3 linked regions of the Tamandua tetradactyla genome follow. The protein of the gene in region 1 interacts with the protein of each later gene in a pairwise test. Links are inferred from orthologs where the notes say so. Each region holds a gene or a part of one and is shown in the gene's direction. Other genes may lie near its edges. The genes, in order: FAM131C, HPCAL4 and VSNL1.

Evidence for each region.
Region 2: the proteins of FAM131C (region 1) and HPCAL4 interact in binary tests that used the Homo sapiens proteins (3 or more experiments, as listed by UniProt). The two-hybrid records come from large-scale screens. The link is inferred for Tamandua tetradactyla from reciprocal best matches to the Homo sapiens genes FAM131C and HPCAL4.
Region 3: the proteins of FAM131C (region 1) and VSNL1 interact in binary tests that used the Homo sapiens proteins (3 or more experiments, as listed by UniProt). The two-hybrid records come from large-scale screens. The link is inferred for Tamandua tetradactyla from reciprocal best matches to the Homo sapiens genes FAM131C and VSNL1.

Annotation. Positions count from the first base shown.
Region 1 is NC_135328.1:209,801,204-209,808,959, forward strand, and holds the start of FAM131C (protein FAM131C), read left to right. Parts: upstream 1-4,701; 5' UTR 4,702-4,733; coding exon 4,734-4,755; intron 4,756-7,756.
Region 2 is NC_135328.1:185,698,950-185,706,072, forward strand, and holds the start of HPCAL4 (hippocalcin-like protein 4), read left to right. Parts: upstream 1-4,044; 5' UTR 4,045-4,287; intron 4,288-4,428; exon of another isoform or gene 4,429-4,526; intron 4,527-7,123. UniProt on the Homo sapiens protein: May be involved in the calcium-dependent regulation of rhodopsin phosphorylation.
Region 3 is NC_135329.1:856,117-863,536, forward strand, and holds the start of VSNL1 (visinin-like protein 1), read left to right. Parts: upstream 1-4,361; 5' UTR 4,362-4,592; intron 4,593-7,420.

The DNA of each region.
Region 1 (7,756 bases):
TGCACATTAGAGAAAGGCCTTCCCTATGGGTGAATACAGCCTCGTAGTACACAGCTTAGCAAGATGACACCTTTCTTTGTGCTAAGAAAAAAGCTCCCCAACTGGGCCAGAGACAATCTCATTTCAGAGCTTAGGGCTTGGTGACCAGAGCACAGGTGGGGTTCCAGTCCCTTTCCCCTTAGCTGGGCACCTTTGTGCAGGGCACAAGCTGCACAGCCTTGAGCCGTGGCTGCTTTGGCAGCGTGGTACTTTCTAGGTCAATTGGCCATGGGAGGAAGGAAAATAAAAGCTGTAAAGAATGCTGCCGTCTCAGCTGCCCCCTGCTGGTCGTCAGCTGCATGACACCCACGATTGAGGAAAATCGTCTCAGGGGTCCCGTACCCTGGTCTCTGTCTTGATTAAAGCAGTAGACCTTCCTCCTTGCCAGTGGACATCTCGAGACCCAAGCTTTGGGGTAGGAGACCTCTGAATCCTGAGGAAGGGATCCCGTCCTGAAGTAGCCACCACAGACCAGGCCTGGGCCAGACATTTTGGAGGCGAAGTCACTGCTCCTGTTAACTCATGAGGCTGGTCTCTTGATGGTGACAGAGTTGCTGTGTCTCCTCCATCAGACTGGGAGCCCCCCCCCCCATCCGACTGGGGCTCACCCTTCTTCCTCCCTACGCCTAGACTTTCTTGCGCCGAGGGTTATGGGGGCGGAGGAATGCAAACTGACATCCAACTCCAGCTGCCAGTCCACTGTGCAAGTCCGGAGCTGAGAGTGGACATGTCCCAAGGTCAGCCTGTGGACTCCTTCATCAGGCTCCCTGCAGAGGCCTCCAGGCCGGGCCAGGTCTCCAGAGAAACCAGGAGCTCCACCTGGAATTTCATCTGGGCCTCGACCCACCCAAGAGCGAATGGAAGAATGCTCGGTTTACAGACGAGGAAACAGAGGATGGGGCTTCCCTTGGCTCTTTGGATGAAAACAGGTCCCCTTTGTGAGGCCCCGCTGAGGCTGGCTCCTGCCAGCCTCTCTCCCCCACCCCATCCTCTTTTCCCCGCCACCGTGGCCCTCCCTCCTCTGCAGCTCTGCTTGTGCTGTTTGCGGGGCCTCAGCATCTTCCCTCTCCCTGCCTGTCCAAGTCCTACTCTTCCTTCAGCTCTGGGCTCAGTCATTGCCACATCCTCCTGAGGGCTCCCTCCAAGCACGAGATCACATCAACTCCTTTTCTTCTACACTCTCACGGCTCCTCTCTAGCACTTCTCAGGGCTGTGATTCTAAACTCGTTGGGGTCATTACTTGGCCAGTGTCTGCCTCCCCCATTGGAACTCTCAGCTTCTGTGAGCAGGGACTTGGCCTGTCTCATTTGGGCTGAAATCTTAGCCCTAGACAGGACCTAGCACAGAGTAAGTGCTCAATATTTGCTGGGTGAATGCAATCAGTCCGAGCTATAACCTCTTTCCAGATATGTGACCCTGTATAAGTTGTACTTTCTTGCATTCATTCAACAAACATTTATTGAGCCTCTACTATGTATTGCTCTGGGTGCAGGATCTACCTGGCTTCAAATTTAGCTCTGTCTTTCCTGAGAAAACCAATACTGGGGAGGTGTTTGAGGCCCAGAGAAGGGCACACCCCCATCCAAAATCTCACCCTCTCCCACTGGTCCCCCAGACCTCATATACGCCTGTCTCCCTGTGTACCCCCAGCATTTCCACCACCAACATCTCTGCCTGCCAACATCCTACTCAACCTTCACAATCCGGTTCCAGGGTCACTGTCGCCTTCAAGCCTTCCCCATGGCCCTTGGCAGAAGCAACTCTCTCTTCTCAGCACTTGGCTGGTTGTGGGATGCAGCGCTGACCCCAAGTTATTTCTGAACATGCCACCCCACCCCCCCAGGCTGATTCATCACTGTAACAGCTCCTGTTGATTAGGCTTTCTCCGTGCAAACCCTGCAGCATCTCCTCTCCACGCTCCAGTGCCCAGCCCAGGGCCAGCATCACGGCGGGTGAATATTCGAGGGTTGAATGGGAAACAGCGGGGCAGCTGCTGGGGTGGGGGCTCAGCCTGGATTCCCAAAATCATGAAGGGATTCGGAGCATGAAGACACTGCTGGGCGCTCTCTCTTCTGGTCTCCTCACCCACCAGGGGCTCCGAGGGAGGGCCCTGGGGATAGGCAATGGAAGGTCACAGGGCAGGTAGGGGGAGCCAGGAAAGGACATCCTGCCCCTGGCGAAGGACAACCACACCTTTAGCAGTTGTCTGGAAATCGTCATCTTCAGCAGAATTCCAAGGACTGGGAAAGTGAATGTGGGTGTGCAAAGGGGAGCCCCCCCTGCCATGGTCCAGTCTCAGGGCTGCCAGCACTGGGGCTGGCTGGCAAGAGGCCTGGGTTCTAGAACTCACTTTGCCATGGATTTGCTGTGTGACCTTGGGCCAGCCCCGTCTCTCTCTGAATACCAATCTGCAATGAGGGGAGTAAGCCACATCCGCCTGCTGGTCAGTGTGAAATTGACCAGCACAAACATCTGAGGCTGGGACAGCCAGAATCTTCCCTTACCACCCCGGCATATCTCTGTGTTGGTCAGCCATGGGCCACAGGTAGGGACAGTGTCCAGCGTTGTCCAACTGGCTCTGTCTTAGGCTGAAGGGAGCACAGTGGGGTCCCAGCTTCCATCCCACTGTGAGCTGCCCCATCCTCTCTGCAGGGGTTCTCCTCCCTGTCCCCTCTGTCCCCAGAGCTGCGAGGCTGCCAGCTGGAGCGGCAGCAGCCGTGACCAAGCGCCTGCGTCATGGTGAGTCAGAGCCCTCCCTCCAAGCCAAATCCAGGCACTCCAAGACAGGAAGAGGAGAAAGGACACCTCTGCCGCCCCCACCCCACCCTTCAGGTCAGGGCACCAGAGCCTGGCCTGGCGCCACAGGCAGCCCCATCCCTCCTTCTCCACAGGAGGGCAGCACACACCTGACACCTGCCCACATTGGCATCAGCGGTGAACAGGGCGGACTTGTCCCTTCACAGACACCCACCTGGAGGCAGGCCCGATAGGACGGGCTCTGAGTCCCTCCCCACCCACCCCCCCACCACCGAATACAACACTGACCCAAGGACGGGCACATCTGTCTTGGTCTCACTGGCACATAGTAGGTGCCCCATAAATATTCACTGAATGGAGGTGCTCCAAGCTTCTCCTTGGGCCTTGGGAACGCCTGTTTCCACCACTGCTACTGCATTTTAGCCCTCAGTTATGAATCCACTATGTGCCCATCCTTTTGCATCTGTTCTCTCATGAAGCCTCGCAGCAATCCCAGTTGACAGAGGAGAAAACTGAGGCTCAGGGAGGTGAAGCGATGTGCTCACGGTCACACAGCTCGTGCAGGGTCTGCGTTCAGACCCAGACAGCTGACCCCACAACCGGGTGCCAGAGCACACACCACCGAACTTTGCATGGCCAAGGGCACCCACACGCACGTGACCCCCAGCAGTCCCTCCGGGCCCAGATCTTGCCCCGTTGAGGTCTCCATGCCCTGCCCAGACCTTCTTCATCCTCTTCATCACCTCGGTGAAGGAAACCTGGGAACCTGGCTCTCTCACCTGGTGTGCAGGTAGGTATGAGGATGGAGTGAGACCTGTGAAAGCAAGCACTCTGCGCATCATGACGTGCTGTTGGCCGGGGGAGGTCTGCTAAGGGACCTCCATCACCCTGCCAGGAGCTGGGGTGTGGTGAGGGTGAGCAAGAGTGTGAGTGTGTGTGCATGTGTTTGCGTGTGTGTACAATTGTGTGTGCATGTAAGTGAGCAGAGTGTGCCACTGTTGCTCCATGGGGGGGGGCACCTGGGCTGGGGAAGTAGCGCCCCCTTTCCGCTGTGCCTCTTCACGAGCCTGGAGAGGCAGCCTTGGTGCCCCTCCGGCTGCTGCCCCCACCCCCAGGCCCCATGGAGGGGGGGGTGGGGGGCGGGGGGCGGGGGGTTTGATTGTCTCTCAGCAGCGAGGCCACTAGTGCATGTGCCTACCCTGGACCAGCGTCCCCCAAAGGAGGGGCTGACTGGTCAGAAGTCCCTGTCCCTCTGCAGCTAAGGGAACTGGGCAAAGCATCTGACATCTGTGAGCCTCAGTTTCTTTCTCTGCAAAATGGAGATAATGGAGTTATAGTTATTGTGCCAGATGCCTGGTGTCCTCAACGTTATTATTATGATTATTAAATTAATGCTATTTCCTTTATGCCTCATATGCCAGAACTCTCTCCGCCCCCTCCCCGCCCCCCCATATCCCTTTCCCTGACCTTCAGCCCAAGTCAGCAGGTGGCGCGGGGGGTCTGAGGGCAGAGGTCCCCCTCTCATCCCCGAGTCCTCCAGCGGGGGGGAGTGGGGGGACGGCGGTACAGGTGCGTGGGTGAGAGGTGGCGGGGGGTGGCGGTTGGGGGACGGACAGGACCTGCGGGCGCGACTCCCGCCCCACCCAGCCCCGCGCAGCCCCGCACGCTCGGGTCCCCCGGGGCCCCCCGCCCCGCCCCGTCCCGCCGCGCCCCGCCCCGCGGTACCACCGGCGACCGGCAGGAGCGGGCGCGGCGCAGGAGGCGGCGGCCACGGGGCGGGAGCGGAGGCCGAGCCCAGCCGCCCCTGCCTCGCTGTCCGCCCGCCGCCCTCCCGCCAGGGCGCCCGCGCCGCGCGTGCAGCCCCCGGCCCGCGGAGACATGAGCGCCCCGCGGCGCGACGCACCCAAGGCGCAGCGGCCCGGCCCCGCGGCCCCGTGATGGGCTCCTGCGTGTCGCGAGGTGAGGGCACCGCGGGCCGGGGGTGGGCGGGAGGCTGGGTCCCCGCGCTGAGGACGCGTGCGCGCTCCGGGAGCTGGGGGTGGGGAGGGGGGAGGAATGGGGGAGGCGACCCCTGCCCCTAAAGCAGCCGGACCCCAGGGTCGCGGAGCTGGGAGACGGACAGGGTGCGCGACGGGCTGGCCGGGGTCCAGGGAGAGAGCGCCCGGAGGTCACCGCATCCGCGGCCCCCTCCCGGCTCGTGGGCAGTTGGCAGGAAGCTGGGTCCCTGTGCCATGCTTCCTCGCCGACAGCCACACACCCCCTGAGGTGTGCCTTGGAGGGGAGGGGGTTTCTGACCCAGCTTTGTGGAGGAACTGAGGGGGCACCAGGGAACAAGCAGACCCCCCCACACACACACACCCAGGCCAGGCCCCCAGCACCCCCTCCTCCCCCCAGCTCCTTCCCTCCTCTCCCTCATGCTCAAATCTTATCTTTAGAGTCCCTGAACCCCCCTGGCAGGAAGGGGTTAAGGGAGGTGAACAGGTGGTAAAGGTTTGCCATCCCACACCCTTGGCCCGCCTTCCTTCATCCTAGTTCTGGTCAGGGGAGAAGAAGGACAGAGAGCAGCTGGGTTTCCAGGAACCCCTGGGTCTGTCCCTCTGTCTCTGAGCCCCTCACCCTCTGCTCCAGTCCTGGCTGGGCACTCCTCCTGCCCCTGACACCCACCCTCCCCATTTTCCCCAGGGTAGCACCCGTGGAGCTGGAGTGCACTGCCCTTGCCTGGGGGACCAGGGCAGGCATGGAAGTGGGGGCCAAGGAGCCTTTCTCAGAGGCTGGGGGATGGGCAGATTGGTCTTTGGAGCCCCCACCCCCACTCCCCCAGTCCCGGCTTCCCAGGGGAACCTCAGGCTGCTGAGCAACATTTTAGCAAAAAGCTAGAGCTGGGCCACTCTCCCACCTGGAGCACTTCACCCCACGGTGGGGCCAGGGGCGCGGGGCTGGGGGTGGCTGCGGCCTTGGCTTGGGCTCTGCAGCCTGAGGCCAAACCCGCTGACCCCAACCACCCCACCCATCACCCCAATCGCCTTCTCATGTGAGATGAATAGGCCTTGGGGAGGGGTCGGGCAGGCCCTGGAGGGGACTGTGTCCTGGCAGGGGGAGCCCAGCCCTCCCGCCTTCCTCTGTGCTCTAAGGGGCTCTGCTCACACTAAAGGTGTCATGGGGACCATTTGGGTGAATGGCTCAAGATACCTCTTGAGGGTGTTGGGATGGGATTGTGGGTGGGGTGGGAAGGAACAGGGTCAGGCTTTTTGAGCTTCATTTATTCTTTCATTAAGTTGATAGTAACATGGTATAACATGGTACCTACTGTGTGCCAGGCACGTGCTCCACCTGAGCATCCCACCACAGCCCAGCCAGAGGGGAAGGTAGTTTTAAGAGTGAAAAGGGTTTAGGGTTGTTTAGGAGTCACAGGCTCATTGTCTCCAGAAACCCCGAAAGCGCTGGGTGGTCTCTGTCTGAGACTGTTTCCAGGTGGTGGGGGTCTGGGATCTGGTGTTTCCTTGGTAACTGTCCCTTCTCCGTCACTTGGCCTTCTGTGCCAGCACCGTGGAGACCCAGCCCCCAATGAATATCCCTGTGAGCTGTGGACCCACTGGGCACTACAGACAGGCCACAGGGGAAGGGATGCCTGCCAAGACAGTGTCCAGCCGGGGCTGGGCCCCCTGCCCGGTGCTCCCTCCCTGCACAGCACCCTCTGCCAGGCCTGTTTGGGGTCTCACCAGCCCCACATGCACTCTCCACCCTTCTTCCTGCAGCCTGGCCCACTCCCAGACCTAGCTGTGAATTCCAACCTCATCTCCCTGTGGAGAGGATGGGACCACTTATAGTCCCAATATGCACCAGGCCATCTGGACAAAGGTCAAAGGAGGTACAAGGAGCTGCTGGGACATTGTCCTCTACAGTCTGCGTGACCCAGACCCAGACCCACCCCTCTAATAATTACTAGTACTTTTTGAGTGTTTACAGCTTACCAGGTACTGTTCTGACAGTTCTAGATACAACTAGCAGAAGATCAACTATCACTATCCCCATTTTACAGATGGAGAAACTGAGCAGAGGGCAGTTGAGGAACTTCTCACAAGTCAGATCTAGGAAATAGCTGAGCCAGGATTTGAACCCAGGTATGCTAACAGCAGAGCCAGGACCCCCAGCCACAGCCAACCCTGACCCCACCGCTGGCACTTGTCCTGCTCCCGTCCAGCTGCAGGCTTCCCTGGGCTTCTGTGCCCCACACCTCCGCGCCACACCTTGGTGCCAGTGGCCAACCCCAGCCTCCCTGCTGCAAGTACTTCCCTGAGTCAGGTACGCAGCCCAAAGCCCAGGCCTAGGCTTGTGAGCCTTATCAGGCTGATGCTCGTACTGAGCCCCACGTGTGCACCCAGTGGGGCCATCCCAGCCGAAATTTAGGTACAAGTCACACCTGGGAGACCTTAGCCTGTCCCAGCACCAGGCAGCAGTTAGCTTCTACACCAGGCCCGGGAGGTTAGGAGGCAGGCTCTGGAGCCGGCCAGCCTGGGTTTGAGTCCCCACCCTTCACTAGCTGTGGGACCTCAAAAGTTTCTTAACCTCGGTGTCCTCATCTCTACAATGGGAATACTAACAGGTTGTTGGGGGAGTTAAATGCCTTGGTCCAGCACTCATGCAGCAAGCTACTCCAACCTGTTAGCTGTTTTGTTTTAAATTTTTATATTCACTCTTCTGTGCAGACAGCCAATCCAGACCATCTTGGCTGGGAAAGGGGAAGCAACAGAGGCTTCAGGCCCCAGCTTGTCTCGTTGGAAAAGAAGTGGGTGGCAGACATCTGTGATGCTGAGGACATCGGGAAAGTGATTGGGACCAGATTAAGGCCACAGATGCTGTTTTCAGGAGCTGTTTTGTGTTATCTATATTTAAGCTACTGTTTGTTACGTGCTAAGCTAGGCTGAGCCTTTCCTCCCCTGATACAGTCTTCATTCAACCC
Region 2 (7,123 bases), about 24 Mb from region 1:
CAACGGCACACAATTTGGGGCTGGGCAATTTCCCACAGCAAAATCTGTTCTAATCACTTTGTATATATTAACTCATTTAAATCCTCAGGATAGTCTTATGAGATAGGTACTGTTATCACCATCCCTATTTCACAGATGAGGAAACTGAGACACAGAGAAGTTGAGAAATTGTCCATGATCACACAGCTGGTAAGTGATAGAAATGGGAGGCAAATCCAGGCAGCCTGGCTATAGAGTCTTTGCACTTAAGCTACTACACTCTATGCTTCTCCAGCAGGAGAAGGGGGAATACATGCAGAATGCAGGACAAGCTAAAACACAAAATCTCCTGCAGCAGTTATCTTTCAAGGGAAGGATCACAGAGAACTTCCACTTTCTTTGTCTCATTTTTTAGCCACCAAGAAAAGATAATAGAGAGATTTCTATTTTGGAATTTAAAAATAAATCTTGCTTAGCCAATAGGAGAAAGGGAAGGAACTCAACTCTGGTGATCTCACTCTCCCAGCCACAAAAGAGACTGTGAAATATCTAGAACCCATGGGAATTCCAGCTGTCACCAGGCTGCACTAGCTGAAGCTGAGGAAACCCAGGGAGGTAGGAAGGCATTATCCATCATAAAGGCAGTGTTTGGGGGCCAAGGAGGAGCAAAAAGCAAATTAAAGTGGTCACTGCATGCAGATCTCAAAGTCCGATTAGATTCACATCCCTCTTAGAGTACCCTTTGGGGGCCTCCCACGCAGCCACACTGTTCCCTTTTTCACACAGCCTCCTCTGCCTTCCTCATTCTGCAGGACCTGCTCCTCCAACACATGGAATAGGTGTTTGCCAAGGCGCCACGCTTGAGAACAGAAAGACCACAATAAAGTTCCAGAGCTTAAACCTTATTCTTCTGGCTCAGCCTTCAGCCTCATAACAGTGGAAACCCCAGTTCAGTCCTGGATGCTACCCCTTCCCAGGAGCACAGCTCAGTCAGTCCTGGATGCTACCCCTTCCCAGGAGCACAGCTCAGTCAGTCCTGGATGCTACCCCTTCCCAGGAGCACAGCTCAGTCAGTGGATGAGAACATGTACCTGAAGTCAGGTGGACATAGGCTCAAATTCTAACTTGTCGTTAAGGTACTGCATTACAACTTCTCTGAGCCTCCATTCCATTGCCGTGAAATGAAGTCCTATAATGACATCACAACTGATATACAGACGTTATGCACCAGTTCACTGAACTCGCAGTTAAAATATAAAAACTCTCCCATATTGGTTGGTAAATACATAGCCATATCCCTGAGCCCCCCCCCCCCCCCACGACCCGAGCTTCTCCTATACACACTCCCCTTGATCCAGGAACTAAAGTGTTAACTCTTGGCAGAATAGAGAGCCACCAAGACATTGATCTAGCACTGAGTCCGGTTCTGACTGGTAACGTTAGTGCCTTGGGGGGTTGGTAGATATTTTTAATGTCACCCTTGTCAGTGGGTATCTTTGGGATTAAGTAAGATGATGCAGATAAAGGACTCAGCAGAAAGTCTGGTACATGCTGAAGCAATTCAGTTAATGTCAGCTGTTATTGCCTTAAACATCAAACCTAGGGGAGCAGAGGCAAGATCAAGGTCAGGATCTCAGAGTCAAATATTAGAAGCAGATGAGATGGGTTATGACAGGAGCAGTCATGGGGGGTTCTGGAATGATTCATGAGCCAAGCTGCATGGCGGTCCTGCATGGTTTAAAAGAGCTGGAGCATTATCAATCTATACTGCTTTACCAAATGTCCCTTGTTTCCCTTCTCATGTTTGCCTGGGATACCTTGGATCCTGTGCTTGACTCCAAGAGAAGTCACACACTGACCTTTGCAGTTTATGAAAGCTTCTACTTGTCCAGCTCTACTGCTACTACTGGACTTCCATGTCTCGGAGGCCTCTGAGATAGAGAAGCTGCTCCCAGAAAACTAGACTTTCTGATGAATGGAGAATCAGAAGCGAATATTCCCTTTCAAGATCCTGCCACTTCAGGACTTGAAAGATCTTAAGGAGAGGCAGTATTATGTATTGGCTAGGAGTGGGTCTCTGGAGCCAGACTGCTTGGGTTCAAATCCTAGCTGCAGTTTTATTAGCTATGTGAAATTGAGCCAGTAGTTTAACTTCTCTGTGCCTCAACTTCCTCATCCATTAAGTGGGAATAATAATAGCACCTAACTCATGAGTTCTTTTTTTTTTACATTAAAATATTGGTTTTTATTATGTATCACTGATGTTATAGGACTAGCAATAAAAAGCAATTCTACCAGGATTAAACCATTGAAAAATCACACCACAAGTTTCAAAAACATCAAGGAAATGTAATGCACAAAAAGAAATGAGGTCTTATGAGGAATAAATTAGGTAATACATATAAAGTGCTATAATAGCAACTGGAGCAAAGTAAGCTTCTCAATATATTAGCAATTACTAAGGGACTCAAAAGTCTAGTAGAGCAGTCAGATTTATGCCTGCTGAATTATTCTGTCCAGGGTGTCAGTCTTTCTTCACCTTCCTATTTGAAATTCTTTTTTCTATTTGAAATACAGATAGCCCTCTGTACTATCTCCCATATCTTAGAGACCAGGAGGCCCAGAGAGAGAGGAGGATCTTGCCCACTGTCATATGTGGGGTCATTGGCAGAGATGGAGCAAGAGTGAGTTCTAACCCATCTCTGGGTCCCCTGGGCCTAGGGCAGAGAAGGTACCTGGGAAATAACAGAGGCAGAGTTTCAGGCACCTTGTGAGCTACCCACAGATGATACCAGGTATGTGCCTCCTAACTGGAGACCTAGGTGCACCCGCGCTAGGCGCTCAGAGGTAATATAGCCTGCTGCCCAAAGAATGGCTCAGCAAAACCCGTTTCTAAAGAAGAAGAACATTGGCTTTTGCTCCAGAACGAGTAGCTCCAGAGTTGCTGGGACCAGCCCCAGAAGCCTATCCTCCACCAGGGGCTGGACTCTCCCCTAACCCCCAGCTTGCCACTACATTAGCCACTTCATGGTCCAGTCTTCACTGCTACCCCTCAGAATCTTCCCTCCCATTCAACTTGTTCCCAAACGCCCGGTCCGCAGGCTTGACTTATTCTCAGAAGCTCCTCCTCCCTGTGGCCCAGTCAGAGGACACCTGCTCCCCTTCACCCCCAGTTTTGGGTTAAAACGATTCCTTTCTATCCCCTTGGGCCAGGGATTCGCAACCGTCAGTGCAGCCCGGGTGGCCTGACCGGTCTTCGGGGAGACCCCCAGTGCACGAGGGAGGTGTCCTCGGGGCCCTGAAACCTTCCAGACCCTCTCAGTGTAAACCGCCTTGGGTTTGTGTCAACATCCGAGGCCGGAGACTGGCGGCGGCTGCGGGCGGGCTCCGTCTACTGGACGGAAAGACGGGAAGATGGGGAATGGAGGGGTCCATGGGTTAGACAGAGGAATCCTTCTGGCAGAGAACCTAAGAAGCATACTGGAAGTCCTTGGGAAATAAGGATGGCCTGAATGGGGAGGAGTCCCATTCCCATTAGGGGCTGTGGGGGTGGCTGTAAGGAGCCCACGACTAGTGGGAGGCTACCTGGAGGATGGGTGCTTCAACATGCATATTTGCGCTGTCTGCGCCCACCCTCTCTCCTCTTTGCTCCAAGGCATGAGGGGAGTGGGTGTCTATAGGGAGGGGCTCAGAGTCGTGGGCTGTTAGACCACCCCATGTTTTCTCTCCCCCACCCGGCTACTCGGCAGCTTCTTGTAGGCCCCTTCCAATTTCGGGTGGGCTATGAGGGGTGGGGCGCGTCTTGTGATTCATCCACCCCCACCCCTGCTGGGGCCCAGGAAGGGAAGGCTTGGAGACTCGGCTGTGGCTCTCGGTTTCCATAGCAACGGTGTGGTTGTTTCTGCGAATCCTTTTCAATCGTTGACAGTTTTCACCCTAGACGGTGGCCCGGGGTCTGAGCCTCAGAGTGGGAGTGCAGATGGGGCTGCAGCCCACCCCCTTCTTCCCGACTCCGGGAAGGTCAGCGCGGGCGGGCGGGCGGGGCGCGCTCCTCCAGCCGGGCCTCGCGGGCCACCCCATCCCCACCTGAAACACCTCCTGTCACTCCGCCCCAGCCGAGCCAATCAACGCCAAATTTGCTCGAGCTGAGGCGGGAATTATGCAAATCGTGTCGCCTCGGAGAGGCACATAGTGATACAAGAGAGGCGGCTCCGGTGCGGACCTCGGAGAGCCCGGCCGCCTGCTAGTCTCGGTCCGCGCGGCCCGCGGAGGCGCAGAGCCAGCCAGCCACCCGGCGAGCGGCCTCAGGTAATGCGGGCGGGGCCGGGACCTCGGAAGCGCCCCGCCGGGCCGAAGTCCTTGCCACCCTCCACTCCCCATTCCCATCTTCTTCTCTAGCCTCCCCTGATTCATCTCCCTGGCCCCCGCTTCCGTCATAGGCGTCAGCATCTGGAGGGCCGCCGCGGGCGGGCGGGGGACCCCGATCTCAGTCAGACCCCGAGGGCCCCAGGGAGGGAGGAGAAGCCACTTCTTTACCTCCGGCTCAGGTAGGAACGACCCTTTCCCTGGGCTCCCAACACACACACACACATACACACACCTGGAGGTGTGGTGTGGCCAGTGTGAGTGGAGGCACCAATCACCCTCCCTCTGGTTGCCTTCAGAGACTGATAGTCTGCCCAGCCCCATGGCAACCTCCCACCACCACAAATAGCCCTCACCCACAACACCCAGCTCCACCCCCCCCCCAGCAGCTCACTGCTCTTCACACCATGCAGCCCCTGCCCCCAAAGACAACCTCATAGAAAGTCAACCTACTCCCACTTCACATGGTCCTCTCAGTGTCACCACTTCCCACCCGTCAAGCTGGCAGAGCTCACAGCATACCTGAGAGAGGGAGGGAGGCGCCACCACAGTTTCTTTCCTCACAGACATTCTCTCAACAGCCTGGCCATCCCTATGACCCCAGTGTTGGGAAAAGGCCCCATGTTTGGCCTCTTTCGTCCTGGCTGGGGACCCTTCCCAACCCCATCCCTTCAACAGACTATCTATATCTTCCTAGTCACTGCAGCCAAGAGACCAGCTTCCAAGCCTCCTCCATTCCCCTCCTGCCTCCCAGCCAAAGCACCAATTTCTCTCCTTCTACCTCTCAAATGTCTTTCTAAGTCATACTCTCTGTGGCCTTCTTGAACCTAGTCCCTCCCTCCCTTTTCCAACTTCTTGCTGCCAGAGCTCCAATTGGACTGTGTTGCTTCTTTCCCTGAAGTGGTCTGAACCTGGAGGGAAGAAGATCTTGCCTTTGCCCCAAGTTGCCATTTAACTTTGGTCAAGTCACTTCCCTCTCTGATTCACTGTGGAATGGGAGAGGTGAGCAGGATAGGGGGTAAACTGGATGAGATGATCTTTAACAGCCTTCCAACACTGACGTGTTCTGATTCTTTGGCTGATTATGAGAAAATAAGACCCTTTCACTCTTTCCCTGAACCATTAGGACAATTCAGACAAGAGGCCTGAGGAACTTCAGCCCTCACCAAAGGGATATCTCTTCTTACCCAGGCCTAGATCCAAGTCATTTCCTCCCATACGTTCTCCAGGCCTCTTCCACAAGAGTCCCTCCAAGGCACGGACAGCCCCAAGATGGGGGTGGTTAACAGTGCCCACCCTTTGTTTAGTATCCCTTTGGTTCTCATTAACAAGTAGATGGAGAAGTTTTGCTCAGCTGCAGACCAAAGACCTGGGTGCTGCTGCTGCTATTGCTGCTGCTTGGAGAAGAGCAAGGGAAGGAAAAGAAAAAGAGAAAAATCTCCTGACCAGGGAGCTGATGTCACCATGGCAACAGCCTCAGCACCAGCTCCTCTGAAGCTAGTGAGGGTGTGGGATTATTGCCTTCCTCAGTCCCTCCCACCCTTACTTCGCATTCTAAGCCCAAAACCCTGAGCCCTGTCCTCTGGAAGAAGCCTCAGAGCACAGAGGAGACAGTGGCTCTGTGTATGGGACAGTACCAGCTTCTTCACAGCTGGAGGGAAGCCTTCAAGAGGTTAGCAGAGCCATAGCTGCAAGAGAGCATGCCTGCAGGTGGATTCTGGCCTCCACTTTGCTACTAATGGGCACTGGCTGACCTTGAGCAAGCCCTTCCCTTCCCTTTGTCTGGGTTCCATTGCTCTGAATTGGGTAAAATGGTAGGAAAACAGATAAATGAAACAGCCCAACATAAGATCCAAGGAGGAAGAAGGGAGTTTTGCCCTTTTAATGTACTCCACCAAAAGATATTCACTGAACATCACCATGTTCCAGGCACTATCTTTAGGTCCTTAAAGGGTGATTCTCTGTAGCCACAGAGGGCAGAGATGGAGCCAATGTGGGGAGCTACAAGGAACAATGGAAAAAAGGCTCTTCTCACTGTCCAAGCTGCTCAAAGGTGGGCTAAGTCATATTGGGAGGGGGTAAGCATCTTGCAATTGAACAAAAAGGTCTGGAGAACATTTTCTGGTGCAGGCAAGGATTTAATGCAAAGGCTTCTCCCATATCAGCTTCCACCCTGGGATTCTAGAGCATCAGGCAAAGGTCACAGAGCTCTGAAGTCTACATGCTTGTGAAGGCTGGACTCCATGGCCTCCTAGGGTTATCCATGTCCAGATGATGACCCCATGCTGTTGACCATTCACTGTCTGGGCTGGAAGAGGCTGGTCATAAGGAAGTGGGCTTCAGCCAGGACCTGCAGGCTGACTATAGCCTACATCAGCCCAGAAGAGAAAATAGGGCATTAAAGGAGAGGAAAGCAACTAAGCAAATAGGTGAGATAGGTCCCAGCCATGAGAAACTTAGTTTGAAAAGAGTATGGGGTTGTGAGGGGAACGTTAGAAGGTGAGGCTAGACAGGTGGACACCTTGAGGCCAGATTCTAGAGGATCTTAGAGTTGGAGGGGACCTATGGGCATGGCCACCTCTAGTGTATTGTACTTCTGTGCAAAACTGGTAAAGGTGTTCCCTTGGAGCAGAAGAATCAGAAGAAAGGCACTCCCTGTGGGGCAGTTGAATGGGCATATACATGAGTTGGCTAACAGACCCCCAGGTTGATTTCACTTCCAAAGAAGAAATGACAAGACTTGGTGGCAAGTTAGAACTAGGCGAAAGGGAGAGGAAAA
Region 3 (7,420 bases), on another chromosome or scaffold:
AGCGGTTGAGACGGGAAACTTTTCAATGTATGTTTCCATAATTCAAAAATGAAGAGCAACTAAAGAGACGATGCCAATTAAATGCAAGATGTGATCCTGGGCCAGATCTAGTGACGGAGAAATGATCCAAAAGGTCATTATTGAGACGTGAAAAAATTGGAATATAGATGATAAGCTTTACATCAATGCCAAATTTCTTGAATTTGATAACTGCACTTAAGGTGGTTGTGTATGTGAAAATATACCCTTAATCCTTAGAAAACGTACATGAAAGTATTAAGTTCAAGGAGCATGAGCTACACAACCTACTCTCAAGTGTTTAGAAAATAGATAGACGGAGGAGTGGGTAGGTGGAATGATATGGTGAATGTGGCAAAATGTTAAAATTGATGGGTCTGATATTTGGGGTGAAGGGTGTATCGGCATTCTCTGTATGGGTTTTGTATTTATTAGTTTTTCAGTTGTACTCTAAATTCAAAAAGGTATCAAAATAAAAAGTTGGAAGCAAGCAAGAAAGAAACCAGGGGAGGACAGGGAGAAATAGCCAACGGGGTCCAACAAATCCTAGACTGCTCACCCCTCCTCTGTGTAGACAGGCGTGGAATGGCCTCTGTCCGACTGGCAATCACAACTCCCTCACCTTGCCTTTTCCCACTTGTTTTAGAAACACATTCAGAAGAGTACAAACATGTACAATGAAACATGTTATGTACCAGAAAGTTTGCTGTGAAGTTGTATTCTAGGAGATGGCATCCTGTCTGACTTTAGGGGAGTTATTTTATTGATTCCGTCCATCCATATGTTACAAGTTGAGTTGTGTCTCCAAAAATACATGTGCAGGCTTCCCACCCTAATGCTGTGACCATAGCCCTATTTGGGAAAAGGGTCTCTGAAGCTGTGGGTAATGAAGACGAGACCAGTGCGCATGAGGTCGAGCCCTGTTTCAACACAGCCTGTCTCCATGAGAAGGGAAGAACGGACAGAGATGGAAGGAGGTGGCCATGCCGCCGTGGAGGTCAGGACCAACCCAGGATGGGAGGCGAACTGCCAGAAGACTGGAAGAGGCAAGGAAGGGTTTTCCCCCACAGGTTTTGGGCTTCTAATCTCCAGAACTGTGAAACAATACATTCTGGTCTCGCTAAGCCACCTGGTCTGTGGTGCTTGGAGGCAGCCTTAGGAAACTAAAACACCATACATTTTAAAAACAGGATAAAAAGTAAAGATACATGAAATTATCTTACATAACACTTCTCTGTAAAGATAATAACCTTAGCTTTTGGAATAAAGGCATTTTGCCCATACAAGAAAATTACTGCCATAATTCTTTAGGAATTTAAATGAATATCTGTTTTCCAATTCTTATCGCTTTTCATTTTCTAATGAGAACTTTAAAACACCTTATTTTTCTTCCAGTTTTCTAGCTGCCCTCATGCCTTAAGTTCTACAGTTCTTTCCTCATATTTATACACAAACATTTCTAACAAATGATATTATAATGAGATTGCAGAACCACAAGTTTAGACCTGTTGTACTGCTGGTATTTTCTCATTTTTACTGTCATTCTCAGTGTGTCCGTGCCACATTTGACACAATTGGGAATATTAAATGTGGCTGTGGCCATCTTTAAAAAGTATTCTTGGTTTGATTTCATTTTCTTTGCTTGAATCTTTGAAGGAGTGTGGTGGGAGTGAGGCTAGGAACCTGCATAAAGAACGTGATTTGCAACTGAGGAAAGGAAAATGCCTAAGTGTTTCTGGGCAACTGAGGAATTTCTCCCCAGACTCATGAAGGAATAAACAATTCCCTGCCCACAGCATCCCACTCCCCCTAAAATAAAATAAAATAAAAACCCTCCACCTGGACCTGCCTTGGGTAAAGAGAGACAGCGGCTGAGCGGCAGCCCCCACCCCTACTCCCACCCCGACCCCGCCCCCGGGCGCAGGCTGGGCCTGGCTCCTGCAAGCTCACCAGCGACGCGCAGCTCTGCAGCAGGAGAGGCCCAGCGGGCTCGGTCGGTTTAGATCCCTACTACGTTCCCCTTTCAAGGTCATGCTGCCGCCCTAAGGAGGGGAACCGCTTTCTGCAATTAAAGGACAGTTTAGAATTGGCTTCTCTAGTGTGGCTTCGTGCTACAAATAAAACTCGACCAAAGGGCATCTGAAAAAAAAACAACTGAACAAAAAAGATTAGGGCTCTAAAAGCCACAGAACAGCTGGCGATTAAAAATCAAGATATAGCATTAAGGGCTTCAAACCACGCTCTAATACAACGGAAACAACCCAACTTCAATTAAGGGGGAAAAAAGCCTGCCCAATCGGACAAAGCCGCCTTACAAAGGCGCAGAAAATAAATCCGAGGCGCGCGACCCCAGCACGGCGGGGCGTCGGGGGCACATCTCCCTGGACACAAGTTGAAAGGGAGTTGCATGGAACGAGGAAGTCACCAAAACGACCTCCGGGGCGAGAAATAGGGACATCTCTTTGAAGCAGAGAAACCGCCTCGATTGATGCCGATTGCGGGGGCGGGGCGCGGTGTTTGAGAATGTTTTGGGGAGAAAAACCGAAATGCCCAGGGCAAGCCGCTTCTGGGGAGGGAGCCTATAAAAGACGGAAGATTACTCCGAAAGCCTTGGAGACTGTCTCCCCAGCCAACAGAGCTGAGTTTAGCCACCCCCTCCCCCACCCCAGGAACCACGGGGCGCGCGCGGTGGCGGCGCGGGGAGCCCCGCTGCGCAGTGCGGACTGCGGCCCCGCAGCGCCGAGCCGCATCCCGTGCGCCGCGGCGCCGCCAAGGACAGTACCGCTGCCGCAGCGCGCCCTGCTCCGCGCCGCTCCGCGCTCCGGGTTTCCCGGGTCGCCGGCACCCGGCCGAGGAACCCCGCGGGGAAAGGCGTGCCACACGCCGGGTCCCCCGAGTCCGAGAGCGCACACCCCCCGCCCCCCACCCCCCACCCCGTGCGTCGCTTTCCAGAAGCGCGGGGCCAGCGGCACGCGGCTGGGTGCTGGGTGCTGGGGGCGGGGGCCGGGACCCGTCGCGCTTTGAGCTGGGACGCCCGAGGGTCGGAGCCTGGCCGCAGCCTTCGAGGCCCCGACGCGTGGAACCGCGTTCTCCAGGTTGCGCGCAGGTGGCCGGGATCCCTTCCCAGCTGGGGCCCCCAGGAGAGCCCTCCCCGGCAGCCAAGGTCTGCCACGAGAGACGCTCCTGGTGTCCCCAGCGCCGAAAGGTTCAGTGCCGTCTCCCCGAAGGTGATGGGGGAGGGCGCTGTGCAAACTGTCAAGTTCTCTACTTGGGGGGAACGTCCTTCCTCGTGGAGTCCACATCACTCCCCTCCCCCGGAAAAAGGAAAAATCTCGCCTGACTGTAAACGGCCAGTGCCCAGAAAAGTGCCTTTTATGGAGGCAGTGGGTGTCCGGGGTTCAGGCTGGGGGGCTGCTGCCCATGCGCGCAGCCTTGGGGTGAGCGAGCAGGCCGGGAACATCTGGGCAGTCTCCCTGCTTTCCTGGTAGGGCAACGAGCAGACATTTACTGGGCACGACTCCTTGCCAAGTCTTCTAGGCTTTGGCAGGCCATCGGGAGCGAGGCAGGGCTGGCACGCATGGGGTCGTTCAGGGACGCAAGGGGGCGTTTGGTGAGGGCCTGCACCCCGGGTTCGCAGGATGGGCCATCCCCTACACCCAGGCATATTCAACAGCGTTTACAAAAGGCATACAGAAGGCGCTCGTTTTTAAACCTTCGCTGCTGGCGAGCATGACTTGTTGAAGGTCGCACAGGGCAAGAAGCACACATTTCTCCCACGCCTGCTTTGGGCCGGGGCCCTGCGCCCCCAGGGCTCCAGCTGATGAGCCCGGGATGAGATGCCCCCGGCCAAAGTGCCCGGGGACTGTCCCTTCGGGGACCCGGCGCCCAGCTCACAGGCCTCCTCCGAGGAGTGTTTCTGCCGGTTTTCCTGCACCTCATGCGCCACCGAGGCCTGAGCCGGGGTCGGCGAGGCCCGACAGCGGCTGGAGGCAGGGTCCCCGCGTCCCCTCTCCGGCCTTCCGCGCCAAGGCTGGGTGGCCGCGGGGCCGAGCCCAGCCCGCCTCCCCGCGCGCGCGCGCCCAGGTGCCCGCGTGGCCCGCAGCCCCGCGCCCGGCGCCTGTCTACCTTCCCCGGAGTTTCTGCTAAAAGCTGGAGATGCGGATTCCGCGCGCGCCGGCCCCGAGCCCCTCAACTGAGCATGCGCCGGCGCGGGGCGACTCTGGGTCCCGCGCTCCCGCGCTCGCGGGCTGGGGTTGCGGCGCTGCGGGCGGAGGGCGGGCGGGAGGAGAAGGGGGAGGGGCGCGGGGGGAGGCGGAGGCTCATGCGCCTGCGCACCGGGCTCCAGGGCCCTCGGCTTTTCTATGGGATTCCGGATCTGCAGCAGACTCAGGCAGGCGGGCGCTACTGCGGAGCGAGTCCTGCTGCTCCAGAGCTCCGTGGGGAGAGGCAGCGCAAGAGAACCCCACTCGAGACGGCTTCACCGCTCACCCGAATTAAACACACCACATCCATACAGATAAAGAGCTGCTGAGTGCTCTCCTTCGCGGGAAGGGGCCCTGCGCAGCGCTGAGACTGTAAGTGGCCCAGGCGACTTGGTTGCCTTCGTGCGCGGTAGCGCAGGCAGCCGCCAGCGCGGTGCCTGGGCAGCTGGCACAGACCTCGCTTTGCACGGGTGCGTGCAGGCGCACGGGGCCAGCCCCTCTGGTTGAAGCTGGCGGCTGCAGGGTAGCGTGGGGGGGACCTCTCGGAATAAGGTGGGGGAGGAGGGGGTGCTGGCGGCGCGATGCGGGATTGTCTGAGGCTCGATTTCAGAGAGGGTGGTTGAAAGGCTGTTTGGTGCGTCTCCACGCAGGCGGGTTCTCTTGCCCAGATTTAAGTCGCTAATTGACGGGCTGGGAAGTTTTCCCGCTGCTGAGGGAGCTATGGAGCGGCCGCGGAGGAGCGCCAGCCTGCCCTCGGGGCTTGGTGCACGGTTTCCGTCGCGGGAAGAGCAGCAGGGGTTTGCTAAGCGAAGCGGAGCGGACGAGATGGTGTGCAAGTCAGGGCTGGTTTCTCAGCGGGCTGCAGGGTTCGGACCCACTGAGTGAGGCGCAGCCTGGGCACGTTCCTCTCCGTACCTAGAAAGGAGTCGATCATTTTTCTTTCTGATTGTTTGTCGCGGTGGTGAATAGGCAGAAAAAAAGGGGATGGGGGCTCCCGCCCAGTCGGCGGTGGGTTCCGAAAGGAGGCTGCGACTCGAGACGCGCGCTAGTTGGCTGCCTGCGCCTACCTGCCCCTGCCTGCGCCTGCCTGCTCCGGGCTGCGGGGCGCCCCGAGCCAGATGTGCCACTCTCGGGCCCTGGGCTTCCTTAAAGGAGAAAAGGTCGTTGGGATTTCGGTTCCGATGGGTGGTCCTTGCCCAGAAGCTGAAGAAGTGTCCTTACAAGGTCAAACTCCGCTTGGAAACCACCTCGGAGGCGCAATGGCAGCGATGGGGACGCGCGGGCGGGGGGCTCCAGTAAACGGCAGGTCCCTGCGAGAGTGCGGTGGGCGCAGGGCACTTCCCTGCGAGTATGCGGGGCTGCGCGGCGCGGTGGCCTGGGAGTGGCGAATCCATTTTCCTGGAGTTGCCTTCCTGTCCATATTTTGGAAACCAAAATAAAATGGAAATGCTGGCGGGTGTGGAAAACGCAAGCTGTGGACTGTCTGTGTGTGGCTTCCCACTTGAAGGCAAGAGGAGAGAGAGAGTTTTATTTCTACATATTAAAATTTAAGGAAAAATAAAGGAACTTCAGGTTAAGACAAATCAAAATGAAACTCTTGTAGAATCTCATTTTACCCCCACCCCGTCCAAGCCGCCTGCGTGTGCTGGGGGTGGGGCTGAGAGCGGGAGTCCCGCATCACGAGCATTTACTCGGTAACCCGCGCTCTTTAGGCCTCGCGTCTTCAACAAGCCCAGGAAAAGCTGCACTGGAGCAGCTTTTAGCAGACAAGGGAAGAGTGTGGCCAGTGTGTGATTCCCAGGGAAAGCTCGGGTCCAGTTTCTGAGATAAAATAAAATGAAAACTCCCCCAATAAGGCAGATCCTTCTTACAGGGATCCCTGTTTGGCCCTTTTATCCATCCAACTACCTGGAGCCTCTTACAGGAATTCATGATTTATTTAAATGGGTGGAATTTGAAGTTGCAAATTTGAGAATATCTCCTTAGAAACCCAGCAGTCATAAAGCCTACCCTGTCAGCCCCTTCCTCACTCCAGGTCACAGGGACCAGCCATTGTCACAATGGCGACTACTGCCTGCCCTCTCTTGAGAGGCGGCACCGGTTCCGTGAGGGGCAGGCTCCAGTGATTGATAGGTGCTGGAGGAAAGGGGAGCCCCGACTACATCACAGAGATGTTTGGTCTTGGATTCCCTGGGTCCTAGGCTTAATAAGGGTCAGATTGGGAAGAGACTTTAGAAGGCGTGAGGTCAGTCCCTTGTTTTACAAATGAGGGAACTGAGGCCCGGCGCCATGGAGCTGGAAAAAGAAATCAATTGACTACTAGTCTGTGGAATAGGAAATGAGTAAGTGATGTTGCGTGCAGTTGCCAGTGTGATGGTGCTGCAATCTCAAAAAAAAAAGAAAGAAAACCACCTCTGCTCCTGCAGCCCGTCTTTTAAGCTCGCCTCCGGGACCATGACAGCGCTCCCTCCTCTGCCTCTCTTTTCCTAGGAAGCTCTCCTTCCATCTCTTTTCTGTTTCAGCCACCGCCGATAACCTGCCTCGGCGGACGTTCTCTTGGCCGTTCCGGCCTCTGCATCTCGGGCAGGTTCTCTGGAACCCTCGGGGTGCTGGAGAGAAGGGGCAGATCAGACGCAGCCCCTGTTTGCCGGCGCGCGCCCCCCCCCCCCCCCGCCCCCGTCCTTCCCTGCCCTAAGCCCCAGGACCCTTCGGGGAGTCCAGCCTTCGGGACACTGCGGTGCCACCCCCGCCGTCCGACCCGTGCACCCTCTTCCCAAGCGGGCCTGGTGCCTGGGAGGCAGACCCCGCTCAGAGGCGCAGCCCTGCGGGATCCTCCGGACACGGCAGGTCGGGCGAGGCGGGCGAGGCTGCAGAGGCGGGAGGCTTAAGCGGAGCCCACGTGGGGAGCCGCGCGGCCATTGCGGCCCTGGGCTTCGGAGGCGCTGGCGCAGCTCCATCACGTTGAGTCTGGACAGGTGCAGCCACGCAGGACACCGGCCTTGTCTTCCCTCCTTTTCCTCTCTTCCTCCCTTTCTTCCCTTCATGAAAATTTCCCGAGGGCAAGCCCAATGAAATCCTGGCCTTCTGCGCCTCTGCAGGCACCGGGGAGGATGCCGCAGCCAGCGGAAATGCCTCCTGCAGGGAGACCTCCAGGATTCCTACCTGAGGCGCTGGAGCACCTGGAGAGGGCGGGGGGGTGG